Linked DNA regions of Oryctolagus cuniculus. The protein of the gene in region 1 purifies or fractionates together with the protein of each later gene. This does not show direct contact. Links are inferred from orthologs where the notes say so. Each region holds a gene or a part of one and is shown on either strand. Other genes may lie near its edges.

Region 1 (5,134 bases):
GATACGCTTGCATTGGTTTAAGCCATTGTTCGCTGTAATTTGTCACATTAGGAGGCTAATACCACCTGCAAAAGATTTTTGTTTTTTTGATGGGGGCAAAGGGCAAGCCTAAGAGAACAAATGGGGAGAGATTTGGAGAGGCTGGGAGAGCTGCCAACCATGCTGTGGGTCTGAGCACTGTGGGAAGGAAGGTGGATTAGGAACTATTGTCACTCTCATTTCATCAGGGTCCATGGGGAGAATGCCAGTGAAAGCCATTCGTCCCGAGAGCTGCTGTCTCCCAGGAACAAGCTTGACTTGCCATCCCTTCTGCCAGGGCTAGGGAGGACAGAGGCAGGGATGGTAGGCAGAACAATGCCCCCCAAAGATGCCTACATCCTAATTCCCAGAACCTGCTGGTATGCTCAGTTACATAGCTAAGGGGAATTAAGGCTGTTAAATGACTGCAGACAAGGAGGGTATCCTGGAGTATTTGGCTATGCCCAATAGGATCAAAAAGGGCTCATAAAAAGTAAAGAGGGAACAGGAAGATAGAACCAGGGAGATGGCAATATGAGGACACAGCCCAACAGTGCTGGACTGGAGCACCATGGGCTGAGGAGGTGCATAGCCTTGGAATCCTGGGAAGGGCAGGGCCATGGATTGTCCTCAGAGCCCCCAGAGGAACGCAGCCCTGCCAGCACCTTGATCTTACCCTTGTGAGACCCATTTCAGACTTCCGGACTACAGAACCATGAACCGACAATTTGGTGTTGCGTTCAGCCACTGAAGTTTGTGGCAGTGTTACACCAGCCGTGCAAAGCTAATACAGCAGGGGAGGCGCTATGGCACAAAGTCTAAGGCAGCGCTCACAGGCTCAGGCTCGCAGTCCGTCACAGTGCCCACTGGCACGGGTGATTTTATGCATCCACTCTGCTGGGCTTCAGGGCACTCAGCTATTCGGTTGACCACTGTTCTGGGTGTTTCTGTGTGAAGGAGCTTCTGCAAAACTTTCAAGGGGTGGACGGAGTAAAGCAGATTGCCTCCTAGTGTGGGGAGAGTCCATCCACTCAGTCGAAGACTTGACCAGAACAAAAAGGCTCACCCGCCCTCAAGTCAGAATTTCCCCTCCTGACTCGGTTTGAACTTTTCCCTGCCTTTGGACACAAATTAACAAATCAACTCTTAGATCTTGGGCCTGATGCCCTTTGGACTCTAACCGCACCAGCAGCCCTCCTGGGTCTCCCCCAGACCTTAGGACCAGCTGCTTACAGGAAATGTTTGTGCACACATTGGACTTAATAAAGCCCCAGCCAGAGATGTGAGAGGCCCTGTTTCATGGCTTCCGAGGTGGGCTCGTCTTGCGGAGGGGAAATCGTGCTGCAAGGCGGAGCTTCGTTCCAGGCTTGACCACTGCAGCTGCTCCGAGGGCCTCAACCGGTCCCCTCCCCTTCTCCGTCACTATCCATTCCAAATTCACCTTCGCCTTTCACCCTGGCAGGTCTTCGTGGCTGCCCTGGCAGAGTAACCCAAACCTTCATTCTTGAGGAGGTCCAGCCCATGAACATGAAAAGGACTGTGCCTTCAATTGCCCATTAACTTGTAGACTGCCCTTTTGGTTTAAAGACACCATTTTAAAATAACCTTTACTATAATGTGAGAAAGACCGTACAGTTAAGAAAGTCAGTTGACATAGGTTCCAGTGTAGCACAGTTCACCCACATGCCCTTTTTGAGACACGGCCTCTCTCTTTGGCTAACAAGGAAATATCATGAAGACCCGCACCCTCTGTGTTGTAACCCCCCAAGAGCAATGATCATATAAAGGATCAGAACAGGCAGGCCTTCACTGGATCAAGTCCCCAGTAGTCCTCAGCTAACAAGTTAGAAGTCTGCTGGAGGAAGGGCTTCCTGGCAAAACAAACAGAGAACCTGTGTTTGATCTTTGCCAGATCACATTAGGAAAATAAATAGAAGCACAAACTCAAGTCAACAATCTTTATTGAGCTCCCACAGGGTGCATGAATTTAGGATCTAAAATTTACAAGGTAGAAAAGGGTTACCTTATGTAGCCACCTTCTTTATTTAAAAAAAGCAAATTATGACTTCTGTATATAGTTCAAGTGAATCATTTATTTTGAGTGAGGCTCAGTTTGATGTCATATAAGTATTAATAGAAAAAAGGGAAACTATAAACATTTCCCTGTCTACCAAAGAGGCATTTGGTACCAGGATAAACTAGCCTGTTGGTTAACAATAGCTGGTTCAAAAGGCTAGAGAACCTGAAAGAAAGATCAGATGTACTTGGAAGTCCTGTCCTAGGAGGGCTCAATCCCAAGAGAAGAGCAAAATGCCAAAAAACTCAACTGGCTCAAAAACGAGAGAGAGATGAAAAGATGAGTTAGTCACAGCTTGGGGAGAAAATGTAAGAATCGATGACACTGACTGTAGCTAGATTGATCATCCAGATGTTTCCCTGGGGTGGTGAGAGCAGTCTGAGCTAGGCCAGGGAACTCCACACTCACGCCCCTGTGAACAGAGTGGTTTGAAATGAGATTCTCCAGTGCACCAACTGTGTTTTCAAGTATAATTCTGGCATTTGTACCTAGCAATGCAGAATAAAAGCAGCAAGAAGAGGGTGTCAAGTATATCGGACGTGAAGTGATTTGGCAGCCCTAGAACTCCCAGTCCGAGTCTTTTTCATCAGGGAAAGCACACTCTGGCTCAGTCCAAGGTGACACTGGAGGCGGTGCTGCTGACGGCTTGGCAGAGGCAGGAGGCAGCAGTGACAGGATGGAGTCCTGGCTTTCTTCTTTCATCTGTTAAAGAAATTCAAAATAAGGCTCTTGGTACAAATTTAATACATCAGTTTCGTTAGCAATAAGTAACTTCTAAAGAAATTATGTTTAAAGTATTTATATAGTTTTTAAGCATTTTTCCTAAAAATGCCTTTGATTCTGGTTACCTGAAAACAGGAAGAGAAGCCAAATAAATGGATTTTTATCAGATATAGTTTGCCCTTCGTCATGTGTAGCCAATATAGAAGGAGTCACTAATCAAAACCAAGGCTGAGCATGTAGTGGCAGGGATTATGGTCCGGTTTGTTTCACTCAATTTTGTTTTACAGGACGGCTATCTTTCAAAAAGTCTGTAATTAAACTACCAAAAACTTTTCTGCTTTTTAACATTATTTTTGTAAGTTAATAGCATGATTCTTGGTAACCAAAGTATCCCATTAAACCAACAACATGGAATGGATTTTTTAATAGTATTTGAAAACACCTAGACAACAGAGGACAGATCAGCTCACCTGTTTGAAGAATACGTGAGACAATAAACTGCTTGCTGATGGCCTGAAATTTAGAAGAAAAAAAAATTACAAAAACTAGACCCTCAAATTGGAATGTATAATAGTAGAAGTTAAGTTAGGAACTATAAAGTCCAACACTAAAATACTGAAAAAGAAATTATGTCAGAAGCTCAAATCTTGGCTCCAACTTTGACAAATGGAAAGAATTAGTTCTAGAGGTGTCCTTCAGTTAATCCATACTGAATATTTATTGAACACATACTATTTATAAGAAATTATGCCTGGCACTTTGGGGTTAAAAATGGTAATTAAGATACACCTTGGGGCCGGTGCTCTGGCATAGTGAGTAAGGCCGCTGCCTGCAGTGTTGGCATCCCATATGGGCACTGGTTCAAGTCCTGGCTGTTCCACTTCCAATCCTGATCTCTGCTATGGCCTGGGAAAGCAGTAGAAGACGGCCCAAGTCCTTGGGATCCTGCACCCACGTAGGAGACCTGGAGGAGGCTCCTGGCTCCTGGCTTTGGATCGGTGCAGCTCTGGCCGTTGTGGCCAATTGGGGAGTGAACCAGTGGATGCAAGACTCTCTCTCTCTGCCTTTCCTTCTCTCTGTGTAACTCTGACTTTCAAATAAATAAATAAATCTTAAAAAAGACACACACCTTGTTTCCAAAATACTAATGCTAATATATAGTTATCTATGGTAATAATTTATATTAGTATGGAAGCAGCTACTTACATTTTATACTGCTAATACATTTCTAAAATGGATTAATGCAAGTACAATAATTAATATTCAGAAAGACTAGCTGATTTTTACAAGGTGAGACTAGGCTAGGAAATGGTAAGGCTGAAACTGGTGACCAACTCTTCTGATTTTTTTTTTTTAAAGATTTATTTACTTATTATTTGAAAGGCAGAGAGTTACAGAGAGGCAGAGGCAGAGGCAGAGAGAGAGAGAGAGGAAGGTCTTCCCAACCACTGAATTACTCCCCAAATAGCCACAACGGCTGGAGCTGAGCCAACCCGAAGCTGGGAGCCTGGAGCTTCCTCCAGGTCTCCCACATGGGTGTAGGGGCCCAAGCACTTGGGCCATCTTCTGCTGCTTTCCCAGGCCATAGCAGAGAGCTGGATCAGAAGTGGAGCAGCCAGGACTCGAACCAGCACCCATATGGGATACCGGCACTGCAGGCGGCGGCCTTACCCTCTATGTCACAATGCCAGCCCCAACTCTTCTGATTTTCAATCCAGTGTTCTTTCATTTGCTTACTACCTCTACTTGTTCCTTTTATTTTTTTAAAAAAGATTTATTTTATTGAAAGTCAGAGTTACAGAGAGAGAGAGAGAGATCTTCAATTTGCTTGTTCACTCCCCAGATGGCCACACAGCCAGCAATAGGCCAGGCTGCAGCCAGGAACCAGTAGTTGCATCCAGGTTTCCCATGGGGGTGCAGGGACCCAGGAACTTGAGGATCGGAAGTGGAGCAGCCAGGACACGACCTGGCACCCATTTGGGAAGCTGGCGTTGCAGGCAGTGGCTTTACTGTGCCACAGCACTAGCCCCCTCTACTTGTTCTTAGCATCATTATTTTCTGTTTTAGACTTGACTTTTTTGGTCAAAGGATAAAACATTTGCATTTTGTGGGGAGGGAAACACCACAAAGCTCCTGTAAAACATAAAACATGCACAGTTTATGCTGCTTAGGAGTGACCGGTATTACCTTTTCTCAGGATCTTGTTGCAAACAGAGCTGTACCAAGCTAAAGAAAGCCGGAGAGAAGGTTTTTGAGGCTGGTGTGTGCAGCCGGTCACTGTTCACAGTGTGCGTCCCACTGGACACAAGCACGCTT
Region 2 (6,190 bases), about 30 Mb from region 1:
AAGCATATGTACACTTCCCTCGTGACCCCAGGAAGCTTCACACTGTGAGAAGTTGCTAAGTGTATCAATTTATTCGCACACCACCTTCATCCTCCCCAGAGCCTCCCGCCTGGGACAGGGCTCCCCTGACTTCCTTCGGCGAAGGCCCAGGAGCTGCCGTGAGGGTCAGGTGCGCGCGCCATGCCGCACGCTGTCTTCCACAGGGCAATGCCTACACACAGGTCTAGGTGGACGGGGTCGGCGCCCGCCCCCCTAGCCACCCTCGGCTGCGTGCTGGCCTCCAGGAAGCCAGCTGTGTCCAGCACTCCCACAGCAGTGGAGTCTTTGAGCTCTGAAATGACACAAAGATCAAGGAAAAGCCCACGTGTGCTCTAGTGTGCAAGCAGCAGCAGCTACGCGCTCCAACCTGGACTAAGAACAGAAAGGTCAAACGAAAACCGTTCACTTAACAGCAGATTAGCAGTAATGTTCCTCATGGATCGGGAAGAGTGCCTGACGCTGAACAGCTAACAGCAGGTGCTGAACTTGCATTTAACATTGAGGGTTACTGGAAATCAGGCTTCTTGCTGGGCCGGTCTCTTCAGATCCCTGATCTGTTTGACCAAGTAGGTCTTCTCGTCGTTGAACTGCTCGTCCTCCGTCCTGTCGTTCTGGAACCTGCTGAGGAACTCGATGAGCTTGGTCTGGTTCTTGAGCAGGATGTCCAGGATGGGCTGCGTCTTGTTCGGGTTGGCGACAAACACCTGCACAGGGAGAGGCCGCGTCACTCACAGCACAGAGCGGTGCCCTCCCGGGGCAGGCGGGACATCAGGGAATTAGACTTTGCTTCAGAAGCTCTGATTTTACAACTTGGAGAAAAAACGTTCAATGTTTTAGCACAGGAAGAGTGGACTAGCTCATCCCGCTAGCCTGAAACAGTGGTTGGTGCTGACTACAGATGTGCACTGCAGAATAAAATGAGCAGAAATAATTCCTGGGCACGGGAGGGCTAACTGGATGCTTCTTTTCTTTTACTTGAAAGGCTGAGCGAGAGAGGGCTTGATCTTCCACCTGCTGGTTCACTCCCCAGATGGCCTCAATGGCTGGGGCAGGGCAGAATGAAGCCAGGAGCCCAGACTTCCATCCAGGTCTCCGTGTGAGTGGCAGGGGCCAAGTACTCAGGCTATCCCCTGCTGTTTTCCCAGGTGCCTTAGCAGGCAGCTGGATGGGAAGTGGAACAGCTGGGACCTGAACTGGTGCTCCAATACAGGATGCTAGCATTGCAGACAGGGGCTTAACCCCCTGTGCCACAGTACAGACCCCAGATTTTAAGACCAAGATCCAAGGGGTGGACGTGTGTGGGGTGCAGTGGTTAAGACGCCGGCCGGTGTACTGGCATCCCATCTCACAGTGCTTGGGGATGAGTGCTGGCTCTGCTCTCGATTCCAGCTTCCTGCTGAAGTGCACCCCAGGAGGCAGCAGGGAACGGCTTAGGGAGTTGGCCTCTTGTGACCCATGGTGGAGACCAGGACTGAATTCCTGACTTGGCTTTAGTGGGGCTGGGCCCAACCCTGGCTGCTGCGGTCATATGGGGAATGAACCAGTGGATGGGAGATCTGTATGTCCCTCTGCCTTTCAAATAAATAAAAAGCTTCAAAGAAAAAAAAAAAAAAACAACAGAGGGGTAGGGGAGGGGATAAAAACCCCAGGGCGCAGGCATTTGGCCAAGTTGTTAAGGTGCCTGCATCTAACTCCTGGCTCTGGCTGACTCCAGCTTTTCTGCTAATGCAGACCAATGATGGCTCGAGTAATGGGTTCCTGCCGCCTACCTGGAAGTCCTGGCTTGGGGTCCTGGCCTAGCCCTGCTGTCGCAGGCATCTGGGGGGTGAGCCAGCAACAGGAACCTTCTCTATCTTACGGAAGGGGAGAAGGAAGGAAGAAAACTAGCGTCTACAAAACCACTAAGAAGTGGTTTTGCTTTGGGGCCAGCATTGTGACACGGTGGGTTAAGCTGCTGCCCACAGTGCAGGTCCATGTGGCTGCTGGTCCGAGTCCTGGCTGTCCCACTTCTAATCCGGCTTCCTGTTAATGTAGCTGGGAGAGCAACGGCAAGGCCCTGCCACCCAGGTAGGAGACCTGGATGCAGCTCCTGGCTCCTGGCTTTGGCTTGGCCCAGCCCCGCATGCTGCAGCCACTTAGGGAATGAATCAGTGGATGGAATCTCTGTCTCTCTTTCCCCCTCCCCTTTTAACTATGCCTTTCAAGTAAATAAAAACTTAAAAAAATTAAAAAAGAAGAAATGGTTCACTTTGTGATAAGCAATCCTCTAATGTGGAAGATAAACTTTCTTGCACTCAAATTCAGTATCCCACATTTCTAGATCTTTCTGCTTAAATGTTACATACACCACACGAACATGAACACTGACGACACGGAACTCCATCACTCAGACGACCAGAGTGAGGGCAACACCCCGCAATCTGTTTGAAGCGCACTGAGCAGCTCTGGATGAAGGCTTCGTCTTCGTACTCTACCTTAAAAACGTGAAAGGCCTCAAACTGGATGTTGCGACTTTTGTCTCGCAGAAGGTTCATCATTAACTTGAGGTTCTCAGGTTTACTGATGTATTTCGTCATAATTGTGAAGTTGTGTCTATCTAACAGTAGTTCACCGAGAAGCTGCGAAGACATTTAAACAATCATCCTTACATTAGGATTTAAAGAAACAAACATCTTGTAACACCTTTAGTAAGCATATATGAGCAGGGACTCGGAGGACTGGCGAACTGCAGTGGCTGTGAGAGCCACAGGCTGCGAGGCCGGTGGGAGGAGCAGGCGTTGTGCGGCGCCTGGGGATGGGGGCCCTGGGCAAAGCTGGCCTGGCCTCGGATCTGGCTCCCTACTCCTTGTCAGCGCTGTAGCCCTGAGCATGTTGTTTAACTTTCCCGTGCCTCAGTTTCTCATCTGTGCACTGGGAGTGGATAAAAGGTGCCTGCATCTCAAGACAGCGCCGTGGGTGACCAAAGTGTGCGCATGTACAAGGGGCACGGCAGGCCTGAGAGGAAGAGGCGGGGGTCTGCGGGAGAAGCGCCCACGCACAGCTGCTGTGCCGTGGCTCCGCTGCTCCTGGCTGCCTTCTACCCATCTGAAGTCCCCAGGTGGCTGACTTCTAGCTAAGCAGCCTGACATCGTGTTATCAGAGGAGGCCTGCCAACGGCTCACTTCACTGAGCCCCAGGTCCCTGAAGGACTGGTAGTTCTTCAATTTCTTTAGACACAAAATTGAAGAACTGAAAGTCTCAGGCAGGGAACCAGCTACTGACAAAAGACGACCTGCTTTGTGTCTACGCCCAGGGTGCACAGGTGGAGTGGCCACCTCCTTTTCATGCTGGTAATTCTGAAAGCCTTTCTCCTTAACCAACGAGCTGCAATTTGGTCACAGTTTATCGATTTGTGAAACATGGCCACCCTCTGCTCTCGCACACCACAAGGAGGTGCTGCTGTCCTGGCAGTCCTGTCTGGCTGCTGTCTCAGAACGCTGGGGAAGAGCACTATGCCCTGGCCCTTTGGGGCCGAGTCAGAGGAGCAAGGACACTGAGGTGTCCTCCTGTCGCATGGATGTGCAGGGAGGAAGTGCCTCCAGCAGCTCCCAGAGTTCTGCAGAACACTGAGGTGGGAGGGTCCTCACGCACCATCAGAGTCATGGTCAAGTCGGAAGCCCTGGGGCTGGGGCCCAGGCTGAGATCAGGACCCTCAGCACTGACTGAGATGGCCTGGGCGAGAGCAGTCCTGGCAGGCGCTGAGCGGGCGACTTGCGCAGCGACCGCAGGGTCAGCAGACAGCATTGCTGTCGAAGGCTCCTGATGCCCTTCACTGTCTTTCCAGGGAAGACAGTCCTCGGGGGCCTTCTCCTCAGGGTGGGATGGGGAAGGCAGGCATAGGGCCCTCATCGACATGAACTCCAGACCTCGGAGGGGAAGATCTGAGCAGAGCAGAAGGTATGACGAACCTGGCCGGTGGCACACACAAGCATGCGCCCCCGTGAACCCTTCATGATTCCCATGGCAGTTCCTGTTGGGCCCACGCACTGACAGAATGGGGCGCAGGCTTTCATTAACTAGCCTAAGAATTTTCTGGAGCAGGGGTCAGCAAACTGTAAAGGGCCGGTGAGTAAATACTTTAGCCTTCGCAAGCCATTCAAATATGCTGTCACACCTGGAGCAGCCGTGGACAACAGAGAAATCAACGGCTATGTCTGCGTTCCTGCATGACTTTATTTACAAACATGGGCACTGGCTGCACTTGGGCCACGGCCTGTTGTTTGTCAATCTGTTCTAGAGTTTACATCCTAATTGTGACATTTTTAAGTTCCTGAAGGACCTGTCCATCTCGGATTTGACACGCAGCAGCCAGAGCTGTCCACGAGCCACAGCCGCGCTGAATGCTTATTTAGTTCATGTGAATCCCAGCCTCAAGTCTATGCCCACTGCCTGTGGGGTCTCTGCATACAAGGGGCTGGGCACATGCAGTGCTGCTGAGCCCACTGCTTTCTGTGGAGACCCTGGCCAGAGACACGTGTGTTCCAGCCCATGCCAGCCCATTCCCTTTCCACAAGGCCAAATGCCAAACATGTGTGAAGAGAAATAAACTGCACAAAATAATCTCTCGTACCTTGAGTGACTGTCTCTTTGTCACATAATTTTCTGAATGGAGTAATTTCTCATATTCACTGAAAAACTAAGACAAGAAAACATTTATCAGTGTTATTAAAGACTGGCAGCTAACATTATAAAATTCAAATACAAACATTTAACACCATATAGGCCAGCGGCTGCCCCAGCTCCCCTGTCCTCTCACGCTCAGGGAGCCCCAGGTGATGCCCGATGGTCACCTGTGGAAAGGGCCCTTGGACCATCTTCTCTTGGCACCAGCTAGGTCCTAGTGCAGATCCAGTGTTGTCACCCCAGACTTCACATCAGCTCTTTTTCTTTTTAAATTTATTTAAAAGGCAGAGGCACACAGAGATCATCGATTTGCTAGCTCATTCCCCAAATGCCTGCAACAGCTGGGGTTGGGCCAGGCCACAGCCAGGAACCCCAAACTCAATCTGAGTCTGGAGAGCATCACTGAGGGCATTGGGAAGGTGAATCAGCAGATGGGAGCCTTCTCCCTGCCTCACACACTCACTCACTCACACACACATACACACACACACACACAAGATAATGTGCATTTCCATGACCTTCATGAAGCTTCCCCCTCAATGTGTGTGTGTGTGTGTCTGTATACATGTGTGTTGGCATGTGTCAGTGTATATGCATGTGTGTGGACGTGTGTCAGTGTGTGTATACATGTGTGTTGGCATGTGTCAGTGTGTGTGTGTATACATGTGTGTGTATACATGTGTGTCTGGGCGAGGATGAGTTGGAGATGTTCCAAGATTGCAGAGCTGTGACTTTTCGTGCAGGTGGCAGGTCCTGGGGGACGCTGCTTTGTCACCTGTCCCCGTGAAAAGTATCTGTGCTGATGTGTCAGGACGGGTCCTCATCTGCCATCCATCTGTGATACACAGCAGGGAGTGACAAGCTGGGGTCCGTGTGCCAGACCTCGCCCTGCTGTTTTTATAAACGGTCCTCACTGGCCCACAGCTCTTTGTTTGTTGTAAATGGATTTGCTTATATCTTTCGCCCAGAGCTGCTGTATACCACTTCCACGTGGAGGACAGGAGGCTGCCCAACGTGCTAGCAAGCTGGAGCTTCTCAAATGGTCATCAAACTGATGCTCCAAATAATCGGCTCTGCCTTCAACGGGCAACACAAAATACACCTATTTCAAGTTCCTGACGGAAAACGCAGGTTTTCTGCTGCCCCTTGGTCGCCAGGGATGCTATCCTATGGAGCTCCGTGGGGGCACACTCAACACTCAGTCCGTGCCTTCCTCAAGAATGCGACTGCCCCTCGGGGCGGGCACGGGCAGATGCTGGGGAATACACCCGGCCACGCCCGCACCCACGTCTGCGGCCCTCCTAGATGTCGCTCAGAGAATGGCACTTCCGTGGAGCACTGTGCCACTGCAGTGCCACCCTAGGCGAGGGTGTCACTGTGTGACACTGAACTGCACTTCCCTTGAAGAACGCCAGTGGGACAAAGCTGTCCCAGGTTCTGTGCCAGAAAAGGCTATATTCTTTCTTAAGAAACCATTTTGCTTTAGAAG

The links. The genes of interacting proteins can lie anywhere in the genome.
Region 2: the proteins of STRADB (region 1) and CAB39 purify together in Homo sapiens (affinity purification with mass spectrometry; 3 studies listed by BioGRID and IntAct, counting the BioPlex papers as one, with this or other methods). This does not show direct contact. The link is inferred for Oryctolagus cuniculus from reciprocal best matches to the Homo sapiens genes STRADB and CAB39.

What each region holds. Positions count from the first base shown.
Region 1 is NC_091434.1:38,531,829-38,536,962, forward strand, and holds the end of STRADB (STE20-related kinase adapter protein beta), read right to left. Parts: coding exon 5,006-5,134; intron 3,332-5,005; coding exon 3,289-3,331; intron 2,798-3,288; coding exon 2,654-2,797; 3' UTR 1,963-2,653; downstream 1-1,962. UniProt on the Homo sapiens protein: Pseudokinase which, in complex with CAB39/MO25 (CAB39/MO25alpha or CAB39L/MO25beta), binds to and activates STK11/LKB1.
Region 2 is NC_091434.1:8,330,782-8,336,971, forward strand, and holds part of CAB39 (calcium-binding protein 39), read right to left. Parts: intron 4,715-6,190; coding exon 4,649-4,714; intron 2,658-4,648; coding exon 2,514-2,657; intron 744-2,513; coding exon 555-743; 3' UTR 1-554. UniProt on the Homo sapiens protein: Component of a complex that binds and activates STK11/LKB1. In the complex, required to stabilize the interaction between CAB39/MO25 (CAB39/MO25alpha or CAB39L/MO25beta) and STK11/LKB1.